Linked DNA regions of Sus scrofa. The protein of the gene in region 1 interacts with the protein of each later gene in a biochemical or structural test. Links are inferred from orthologs where the notes say so. Each region holds a gene or a part of one and is shown on either strand. Other genes may lie near its edges.

What was found.
Region 2: of the proteins of PLK1 (region 1) and CSN1S1, one has a biochemical effect on the other in vitro, tested with the Homo sapiens proteins (2 studies listed by BioGRID). The link is inferred for Sus scrofa from reciprocal best matches to the Homo sapiens genes PLK1 and CSN1S1.
Region 3: of the proteins of PLK1 (region 1) and TOP2A, one has a biochemical effect on the other in vitro, tested with the Homo sapiens proteins (2 studies listed by BioGRID). The link is inferred for Sus scrofa from reciprocal best matches to the Homo sapiens genes PLK1 and TOP2A.

Annotation. Positions count from the first base shown.
Region 1 is NC_010445.4:22,548,300-22,552,050, forward strand, and holds the start of PLK1 (serine/threonine-protein kinase PLK1), read right to left. Parts: upstream 2,597-3,751; 5' UTR 1,139-2,596; coding exon 731-1,138; intron 17-730; coding exon 1-16. UniProt on the Homo sapiens protein: Serine/threonine-protein kinase that performs several important functions throughout M phase of the cell cycle, including the regulation of centrosome maturation and spindle assembly, the removal of cohesins from chromosome arms, the inactivation of anaphase-promoting complex/cyclosome (APC/C) inhibitors, and the regulation of mitotic exit and cytokinesis.
Region 2 is NC_010450.4:66,886,920-66,890,670, forward strand, and holds the start of CSN1S1 (alpha-S1-casein precursor), read left to right. Parts: upstream 1-1,311; 5' UTR 1,312-1,360; intron 1,361-2,864; 5' UTR 2,865-2,876; coding exon 2,877-2,927; intron 2,928-3,751. UniProt on the Homo sapiens protein: Important role in the capacity of milk to transport calcium phosphate. Casoxin D acts as opioid antagonist and has vasorelaxing activity mediated by bradykinin B1 receptors.
Region 3 is NC_010454.4:22,025,221-22,028,971, reverse strand, and holds the end of TOP2A (DNA topoisomerase 2-alpha), read right to left. Parts: intron 3,710-3,751; coding exon 3,666-3,709; intron 3,275-3,665; coding exon 3,134-3,274; intron 2,189-3,133; coding exon 1,989-2,188; intron 1,626-1,988; coding exon 1,497-1,625; 3' UTR 520-1,496; downstream 1-519. UniProt on the Homo sapiens protein: Key decatenating enzyme that alters DNA topology by binding to two double-stranded DNA molecules, generating a double-stranded break in one of the strands, passing the intact strand through the broken strand, and religating the broken strand.

The DNA.
Region 1 (3,751 bases):
GCAGCTCCAGGAGAGACTTGGCGAGGGGAGGAAGGAGGAACGGGCAGTGGGTACTCAGGCCCAAGGCAGGGAAGCAGTATCATTAGGTGAAAGCTGCCTAGGACCCTACCCAGCAGTCCTTCTCCAGGACAGCTATGCTCTCCACTCTCCCCTAAGCCAGGCCACAACGGTTCAGAGCGCCCTCTCTCCCACCAGCTCCCTTACCTGGGACTCCTCTCTCAACCCTTCAGGAAGTTCAAGAGTACCCCGTATGCCCCCCCCCCCCCCCCGCCACCCCCTCGCCAGGCCTCTTCCGCAGCAAGAGATCCCTTTTCTGACCCCTCTCCTCCCCGGAAGCCCCCAAGTCTGGCTCCAACTACCCTGTGCCTGACCCAACCCCACTCCGGAAGGTCCAGAGCACCCCGTACCTAGCAACTCCGGAAGACCATTAGCAGGGCTCTCCCGCGACCCGCGCCTCCCCAACTCCGCCCAACTCCTAGCGTCCTTGAGCCGCCTTCCCTAGAGGCAACGCGACCCGGGCTCCACTAAACCCGAACCCCCCTCCCCTAGCAGCCCCAAGTGCCAAGCCCCCTCTCTACTCGAGACCTTCTCCACTTCCAGCTCGAGATTCCCACCCAGCACCTCCTCTCCAGCAGCTCCGAGTCCCGGGGGGTCCCCTCCCCAGCAGCTGGGTCCGGACGCCCCAACCCCAGCCTGCAGGCAGCTCCAGTTTCCCAGCAGCGACACTCACTCTCCGGCGGCAGAGCTCCAGCACCACGAACACGAAGTCGTTGTCCTCGAAAAAGCCGTGGAAGCCGACGACGTGCTGGTGGGCAAGGCTGCGGTGAATGGATATCTCCATGGACATCTTCTCCTTCTGGTGCGGCTTGAGCAGCAGCGACTTCGGCACGATCTTGCCGGCGAACACCTCCTTCGTGTCCGCGTCCGAGATCTCGAAGCACTTGGCAAAGCCGCCCTTCCCCAGAAAGCGCCCGCGGAGATAGCGCCGCCGGCTGCGCGGGTCCACTAGGACCTCCGGGATCTCTTTCGCCGGCGGAGCGGCCGCCGGGGCCCCGGGAGCTGCAACTCCGGGGCCCCCGGCTTTTCCTGGGTCAGCCGGTGCCCGCGCCAGCTTCCCTGTAGTTGCCGCCGCACTCATGTCCCCGGAGTTGCTCAGCGGACCTAGCAGGGTCTGGGCCGAGGCTTGGCACCGCTCTGCCCCTCCTCGAATTCAAACGCGGCGCCGGGAACGTTACAAAAGCCTACGCGCTACTGATTGGCCGCGGGGATTTAAAATCCAAACCCGCCCGCCGCGCGGCACTATGGGAGCTCTCTGCGCAGCAGCCTCCTTTAAACCCGTGCCCAGCCCGGGGAGGAGAAGCTTGATTGACAGGGACTCGCGGACACGTGGGATGCCTGGGAAACCAGACCCGGCGTGGGGATGCTGAGACCCAGTCCCAGGAGAGGGGGAGTTCGGGGTTTCTCCCTTTCTCGGCGGCTGGGGAAGGTCGGGCAGTCCACGTGCACCTCCCCCAGGAAGTTTTTCCCACCACCTTCCTTCACCCCTGCCCCGCCTTCGAGCTTATAAACTGAGAACGGAGACCCGGCAGCGCCGAGAGGTAGCTGGGAGAGCCTTAACACCCGCCTTCGACGTCATCAACTCTCTTCCAAGTCCCTGCAGTAAACTAAAATCTAAGTAAAAAGAGGATGCTTGCCAGGCAAATGTGACCTTCAAGACAAACCCCCTACTTCCCTCCTTCAAATAACAGCTGCTCCCGAGCCTCTGGGTTACAGCTCAAGGCTACTCAAAGTATGGTGCAGGAACCACCAGCATTATCACCACCTGGGAGCTTGTTAGAAAGGCAAAGCTTCAGGCCTCACCGCAGGCCTCCCAGTGAGTCCTACACTTAGGGAAGTTTGAGAAGCACAGAACCAGAGCCCCCACCCCGCTATTCTGCAAGAAAGTCGGCTGGCTGGCTCACTGCTGTCTCCCAGCGCCTAAAATAGTGGACCTTCAATTGTTTGGTAAGAGGGACTGTGTGGCTGGTTGGCGGAATGCCTGGCAAACTGGTAGACCAAGGCCAAATTTGGTCTGCAGAGGTGTTTTGTTTGGTCTCCCGCTGTTAAATTTTTGGATCCATTTACAGGTTCAAAAATACAGAGAGCGCACATAAAAAAATCAGTTTTGTGGCTTTTTCTTAAGGAAAACTACTTGCTGTGGCAACTCTATGCCTACATACCTTTCCAGTTTGCCACAGTTCCCAGCTACCCCTTTGCCCATTTGCCTGTCTGGCTTCTGTAGATGTTTGAGCGGAAACCCTGCAATAGCCGATTACCCAGGTTAGTAGTCTTTGGTAATAGTTAGACATCCTATGATGTCTGTGCTAGAACTCAGCAAAAATCAACCGAATTACAAGTATCTCTTTACCTGACTCCCAATAAACAAAGTGGCATGATGACATCATTCCTACCCCATGTCCCAAGCTCCCAGCATAGTGCCTAATAAAAAGGAGTGATTAAAATGTTTGCTGAATAGGGAGCTTCCATTGTGGCTCGGTGGGTTATGAACCTGACTAGCATCCATGAGGACCCAGATTGGATCTCTGGCCTCTCTCAGTGAGTTAAAGATTGCTGTGAACTGTGGTGTAGGTTGCACATCTGGCTCAGATCCCACGTGGCTATGGCGTAGGCCAGTGGCTGCAGTTCCCATTTGACCCCTAGCCTGGGAACTTCCATGTACCACAGGTGCAGCCCTAAAAAGCAAAAAAGCAAAAAAAAAAAAAAGTTTGCTAAATAAACTATTACATTTAGAATGGATAAGCAATGAGGTCCTGCTGTATAGCACAGGGAACTCTATACAATCCCTTGTCATAGAACATGATAGAAAATAATATGAAAAAAAGAATATGCATATGTATAACTGGGTCACTGTACAGCAGAAATTGACAGAACACGGTAAATCAACTATCATAAAAAACTTTTAAAAAAATAAAATGTTTACTAAATAAGTTTTTTTAATTAAGTTATTCTTTTTTAACCCCTGTGATGTGTAATATCCATTTTATCTTTTTATAAAGTTGACTCCCTCTGCCAGAAAAGTATACATATCTTAACTGTACAGCTCAGTGAATTTTCACAAACTGAACACACCCCATGTAAACAGCACCCAGACTGAGAAAGAGAATACTACCAACACGCCAGAAGTCTCTCTTTGCTCTGTGTTGGGGCTCCCCAAGACCACCCCCAGTTTGATGATTCACTAAGAGATTCCCAGGGCTCAGCATAGAGTCCTACTCACAGACGGCTAAGGTTTATTGCAGCGAAAGGCTACGAAGCGAAATCAAAAGGGAAGAAGCGCATGGGACAAAATCCAGAGGCAACCAGGCCCCACCTTCCCACAGTCTTCTCCCAGTGGAGTCACACAGGACACACTTGATTCCTCCAGCAATGAGTGTGATGACATGCATGAACTGTCATCTACCAGGAAAGCTTATTAGAGACTCAGCTCCTAGGGCTTTTCTGGGGGCGCCCTCTGCTAGCATACACCCAAATTCCAGATTCCTGGAGGGAACGCAGGTATACAGCATAAACCACATTGTTTGCACAGTGTAGGCCCAGTGAGCGACTCTTTATCATTAAGGAAATGGTGAGAACCTTCCTGAAATCCAAGAACTGAAATGCCAGCCAAGGGCCAACCACGGAGCAAGTCTTTCTAAGGAGAGCAGTCTCAGGCCTGCTTTAGTAGCTCTCTTCTGCACAGTCCACCCCCCTC
Region 2 (3,751 bases), on another chromosome or scaffold:
ATGACTGTAAATTGGCTGTGAATATCACTATGGATTTATTATTTTATTTTTAAATTTTTTTGGTCTTTTTTCTTTTTAGGGCTGCACCCATGGCATATGGAGGTTCCCAGGCTAGGGGTCGAATTGGAGTTGTAGCTGCCAGCCTACACCACAGCCACAGCAATGCCAGATCTGAGCTGTGTCTGCAACTTACACCACAGCTCATGGCAACACCAGATCATTGACCCCTTGAGTGAGGCCAGGGATCGAACCTGCAACCTCATGGTTCCTAGTCAGATTCATTTCCCCTGCGCCACAATGAGAATTCCAGAATTTTTTTAAATATATAGTGTGATACCTTTCTGTAAACAAGCAGTCACAATCAACAATTTTTTAAATCCAGCTCTATGTATAGATATTTTATTCAGCATGCAATTTTTTTCCTAAAATTAACAATGCCAGTTAATTCTAGGATTATATTTCAGGATTGGAAAGAAAGTTTTTTTTCCCTTTTATTTACTTACTTTAAAAGGTGGAAAATTGGAGTTATGGTTGATTTTTTTGGGGGGGAGTATTTAAAAATTGTATTCTTAGATAAAAATTATTCTTGAATAATTATTTTTAATTAAGAAATCTAACAATTAAATTAATGAATACTATCACAACACATATACCCAAAATAAAGCAAGCAGAAAATTATTTGGTGTAGTTAAAATACTACCAAAGTTTATAAGGCAATTGTATTTTCTTTTTGGTTAAAAAAAAGATCAGATCACATATAAGGTAACTTACTCCACAAGGTAACTTACTTAGAATACTTAGAATAAATACTTAGAAGACTTAGAATAAATAATAGGGAATAAATAGAGTTTTAAAAGGTGAAATAGATGATGAAATCTTCTCATGGTCTAGTACAATTATAAAAATTAAAAATTTTTGATGATTTTATTTTGTCTCAAGAATTTCCCTTACAGGTATTGACTTTTTCAAAAGCTGTAAAGGAAATTTTATTGCTATATTAATCTTTCCAATTATCCATTTAACTTAAAAAGCATGTTCTTATAATAACCATAAATATGGAATTTTTATGTATCTTAATTTTGAATAATGTCATTCCATTTCCTGTATAATTTGGTATCATAGCATGAATCACTCCTTTGTTGAAAACTCTCCTCAGAATTTCTTGGGAGAAAAATTGGACAGAAAATTAATTTCCTCTTTGAGAGAATTCTTAGAATTTAAATGACACTATTGGTTGAACTGAAACCACAAAATTAGCATTTTACTAATCACTAGGTTTAAATATTTGTGAAACAAAGAGATCTGCCACCATCTTGATCATCAGCTCAGCTTGCTTCTTCTTTCCGGTCTTGGGTTCAAGGTATTTCATTTACATATAGCAAAATGTGATATATTATGATTTCAATCTGTCTAATTTTTCACTCCTCACTAAAAAATATGCACTGGTAACTTTTCTGTGTGATTCCAAATATTGATACCTTTTAATGATATACTGGTGGCTTAAAAATGCATTTGCAAATGTCGATGCCATCTATCTCAGAGCTTTAGTTGAAAAATAATAGTTTTATAAAGACCAAATTTTTTTTGCCAAATTTTATGAAAACTTATTATGTGAAATAATTTATAATCTTTTTAAAGATCATAGTGAGGATCATTTCTGGTAGAATATTTCAAGACCATTTTTATTCCATGTCATTAGGTTAATAAAATTAATTCTATAAAGGATATGTCAATGATATACACAGATATAAATGACTACTTTTTAAAAGATGGTTAGATTTGGATATTTGGAAAAATGCAAATGAATAAAACCAGTAAACTCATTTTGGATTTATAAATATGTCTTCCTTACAAATGCAGTTAGATTCTACAATATGTAGACTGAAACAGTATGTATAAAATAAGCTGATTAGTTTGTTGGCTAATGTATAAACAAATTGCATGTATATTATGACTTTCTTTTCCTAATTTCTCTGGAAACCAGTTTCCCAGGACATAAGTTCTAAGTATCTCTGGGTTCTTGTAATTTGATGGAACTCTAGAAGTCACACATGATAAGACATCAGAATCTTATGATTCTGCTCAATGAAGTCGTCTTTATGCAGTCATGTCATGGATATAGCAATGTAGAAAAACATAACATAATAGCTAGACTTTAAAAAAAAATTGATGGAGGTTAAATGTTTCTACATAATATGCACCAACAGTGTTTTTCCCAAAGACGCTGAAAAAGCAGGATGCTCTAACATAGACCTAGAAAAACACCTTCAAAAAATTGCAGATAGGGAGTTCCCGTTGTGGCTCAGTGGTTAACAAATCCGACTAGGAACCATGAGGTTGCAGGTTCAATCCCTGGCCTTGCTCAGTGGGTTAAAGGATCTGGCATTGATGTGAGCTGTGGTGTAGGTCGAAGACGTGGCTTGGATCCCACGTTGCTGTGGCTCTGGTGTAGGCTGGTGGCTACAGCTCTGATTCAACCCCTAGCCTGGGAACCTCCACATGCCGTGGGAGCAAAAAAAGGCAAAAAGACCAAAAAAAAATTTTTTTTTCAGATAAAATTAAATGCCAGTTCCCTGTGCCTTTTAGTTTATTATCAATTTTTAGCAAATCTGATGGTCTAAGAGGAAATATTTAAAATAATTAATTGTAGTATTCTTAAATTTAGTAGTATTTAAATATTAATGTTTATGTATTCCTCTGACAAAACCCTATTACCACTTCAAGGATCAAATGTTTTGTTTTAGAGGGTGATACTGGTGTTTCTTATCTCATATAAGCACTAAGCAAGATAATTTGAATGATAAATTTTTCTTGTGAGTAAATTTTCTGTCAGACCTAAATTTTTATTTTGTTTTCTTATATAGGTGTTGACAACCATGAAACTTCTCATCTTTATCTGTCTTGCAGCTGTTGCCCTTGCCAGGCCTGTGAGTATGGTAGAGAATTTAGAAGCTTCTAGATTCTTGATTGAAATTACCTGATATCAAACACAAGAAACTGAGGATAATAATCTTAAAAGTATTGAATGATCTCTAATTACCTTTTGAAGCCTTGATATTAAAACTGTAGAAATCCTTCACATCTTGATCATTATTACATAGTTCATTCAAAGTCATCACTCCAAATAAAATCTGAGTTGAAATATAAATGCCTCACAGTAAAAAAATAAAAACAAAAAATGAAAAGAAAAGAAAAAGGAATAATGTATTTAACAACATAGTAAATAGAATCAATGAGTGTTATTACGCTCTTTGCCTGAGTCCAATAAAGAATTAGCATATATTTAAACATACAAGTCCATGATTTCTTTTCTGTGGAAGGGCTCATTTGTGCCTTATATAAGATTCCAGGTATCAGTGATATATCATTTGGTATTTGTCTTTCTCTTTCTGACTTACTTCACTCAGTATGAGAGTCTCTAGTTCCATCCATGTTGCTGCAAATGGCATTATGCCATTCTTTTTATGGCTGAGTAGTATTCCATTGTGTGTATATACTACATCTTCCGAATCCAATCATCTGTTGATGGACATTTGGGTTGTTTCCATGTCCTGGCTATTGTGAATAGAGCTGCAATGAACATGTGGGTGCATGTGTCTCTTTCAAGGTAAGTTTTGTCTGGATATATGCCCAAGAGTGGGATTGCAGGGTCACATGGTAGTTCTATGTGTAGATTTCTAAGGTATCTCCAAACTGTTCTCTATAGTGGCTGTACCAGCTTACATTCACACCAACAGTGCAGGAGGGTTCC
Region 3 (3,751 bases), on another chromosome or scaffold:
CACATCCTCATGGATACTAGTCAGATTTGTTTCCACTGCACCACATGGGGAACTCCTGGCCTGGGAATTTCTGCATGCTGCAGGTGTGGCCAAAAAAAAGTTTACATTTATAACTATTTATTGATGTAGGGCCAAGGCCTTTGGAGTGTTAAGGAGATGACTTTAGTACCTATGTTTAAAATCCCAGGAAAAACCTGGTTGGCCCACGATTAGGTCATGGTGTTGATCTCTCAGACCTTTCACTTTGGCCAAGAGCTGTCGGGCACATTAGAAAGTGATCAGAATGGTCCCCCAAACTATTTTACAGTGAATAGTCAAGAGGTATATATTTTATTTTTATTTTTTTGTCTTTTCTAGTCCTTAACCCACTGAGGGAGGCCAGGGATCGAACCCGCAACCTCATGGTTCCTAGTCAAATTCGTTAACCACTGAGCCATGACGGGAACTCCAAGAGGTATATATTTTAGATAAAGAAAGGGTATACTGCAGGGGGAAAAAGATGGGCAAGAATCATGGGTTGAGATGTTCACAACATTTTATTAAAGTACAAAATTGTTGGAATTAAGCTGAATAGAAAAACATAGTAAATATTTACAAAAACATTGATAATACCACTCAGGTCACACACATGTAACAAATACAGGAAGGTCTTAAAAAAGTTGACAAGTGGAAAATCTGGAGATTTCTCAAAATGGATAGAACAGTTAGTTCACGGCTCGGTTTGGCATCAACGTAATATGTAAGATCTCTGGAGTGAATGTTGTCCCCACTCCCTGTGATCTAGCGCCGCCTAGAAATTTTGTTCTTGGGGACATTCAGACTCAGGCAGCCAGAGGGGTTAAGTCAAGAATTGAGATAATCTACGTTATGGTCTAAATTTCTTCATCCTGTTGACTGTGTTGAGGTTCTGTAGACACAGTCATGGTTTTTGCTCAGCTTCTGTTGATATTCAGATGGATGCAAAGAACATGAACAATTTTCACTGCTTAAACAAAAATTCAGCAGATAAAAGGCTGAGAGGAATATTTGATATTGGAACTACATAAAGTCTATCTAATGGAAAATTATCTACACAACTAAGATAAAATAGAGATTTAATCATGCCTAATCTCATATTTACTGAATGTAGGCAGAGTAGAAACTTTTAGGTCAAAATGCTCTAAGTTTAGCTTAATGAATGGTCAAAATACATTATGCTGAAGTGACCATAGAACGATCTCTGGAGGCCAGAAAAACTTAAAATCAGATTTAAAAGGAAAACAGACTCAGTACATACACAAAGCAGAGAAGAAAACAACGCCCACAAGACAGTCACGACTTAGACAGTATTAGAAACATTAAGGGCCACTTGGGTTCTACACACTTCACTTTGTGGTTCTGAGTTCAGTTACCTTCCCCAAACTCAACTCGCAGGGGAGGAGATTAAGAGGTTCAGGTAACTTTAAAACCAGTCTTGGGCTCAAAGAGGCCATTACTTAAAAGAATCACCTCACATCTTAAAACAGATCATCTTCATCTGATTCTTCAAGGTACTTAATTGGCTTCTTGGTCCGTCCAGATTTTGCCCGAGAAGCCACAGCCAAGTCTAAGTCCAGATGGAAGTCATCGCTCTCCCCCTTGGGTTTCTAGAAAAGAAAAGCTCAAGTAATTTGCACAGTGTCAACCTGACAGCAGAAAGTCAATGCAAGAAATGTTTTGACAGACTATAACTCAAGGACTTGTCTATTATCTTTTATTTTATTTTAGTTTTTTTTTTGTCTTTTTGCTATTATCTTTTAATAAATAGTTAGAAGAAGATCCAAGGCAACTCCCTCGTTGACTAATTATCTGCACATTTAACTTTTTACAGCTACACCACATCGAGTAAAAGGCATAATGGATTATGAGATTAAAATTTATTTTCTTAAAAATGTGCCAAATTATTAGGAGCAAAGCTTGGTCATGTGTTTCAAAACATCTACAGCAAAGGGACTGACTAGGATAAATACCTTGCTTGTGACTGCTTTAGAAATCATTTTCTCGAAATTAGAGTCGGAATCATCAGAAGTGGATGGCTTCCTTTTGCGGCGACCCTTAGGTTTGGGGGGATTAGGCTTTTTAGAGACATCAGAATCCAAGTCTGGATCCTTTTTGGCTCCTTTCGGTGCAGCCCTTTTTTTGGCGCCTGTAGTAGAGGTGGAAGACTGACCTGCAAATCAACACAGACATTGATCATGGCCAGTCGTAGATGAACTGTGGGGAATTGCTGGCACTGAACTTTGTTCAGCACCCTGCTGACTGCTTATGTTTACCATAGGAAAAGACAACCTAATAGAGGTGAAACTATATTAGAGAATCAAAGTTATTCTTTTTTTTTTTTTGCTATTTCTTGGGCCGCTCCTGCAGCATATGGAGGTTCCCAGGCTAGGGGTCTAATTGGAGCTGTAGCCACCGGCCTACGCCAGAGCCAGAGCAACGCGGGATCCGAGCCGCGTCTGCAACCTACACCACAGCTCATGGCAACGGCGGATCGTTAACCCACTGAGCAAGGGCAGGGACTGAACCTGCAACCTCATGGTTCCTAGTCGGATTCGTTAACCACTGCGCCACGCCACGATGGGAACTCCCAAAGTTATTCTTAATCTGATTTTTTAGGGCCACACGCATGGCATACGGAAGTTCCCAGGTCACACTGGAGCTGCAGCTGCTGGCCTACACCACAGTCACGGGCGACACTGGAGCTGAGCCTCCTCTGCCATGTCTATAACTCATGACAATGCCAAATCCTTAACCCACTGAGTGAGGTCGGGGATCGAATTTGCATCCTCACAGACACAATGTTCGGGTTCTTAACTCAGTGAACCACAATGGGAATTCCTAATAGGATTTTTTTTGTAGGTCTAAGCTTCATGTTAAACATTTGCAACTGTTTGTAAGGCCTATCATCATAGAAATAAGCTAAGATAATGCTTAATGTTTTAAGAAACATGCTATTTTTAAACCTTTTGACTAGCAATTTTGATACTAAAGACCTAAAGATTTGTTTTCATTTGAAAAAGGCTTAGTTTCAATAACAAAATAAAAAATTGAAATTGACTTGTAGTAGCCGGTTAGTTAATCCCAATATTAGCCCATCTCAAAGATTTAGGCTCACTTTTTGCTGCTGTCTTCTTCACTGTCACGTTCTTCTTAGAAACAGGTTTTATAGTTTCAGTTACAGCTGGGAAATCAGCAACCGGAGAGCTTGGAGAAGGCGGTACATTATCCTTGGCATCGTCGGCGTCAAAGTCTGAGACTTCAAATAGGAAGGAAAAGAGTCATCTGAGCAACATGTGAAAATCTGTTTACTGCTTTTGTCCCTGCTCTGAATTCCTAGTTAAACACTAAGTCTTAAATAGTCTCTTCTGGAGTATTTAAAACTCATAACTTCGTTCTAATTTCTGGCTTCTTCGTCAGCAAATAATTATTTTTTTGTATCTCTAATACCTAGCAAGCACATCACTTTTAGTATATTAAATGTAGAAGAGATTTATGTACAAATCTAAACCTAACAACATCAATGTAATGCTAGCAAGAACACACATATATTCTCAAAGGAAGGACGTGGATAACGTAGTCTGGATGGGAAGCCCGTTGGACATGAGTGTGCCGGTCGAGCAGATGTCTGTTTTTGCCTAAATACTTACCTGATGGGGTACTTTTCTGTGGCTTCGGTTCTTTGTTAGTATGTCTAGAAAAAAAAAATTAACATCCTGATAACAATTCTAAATGT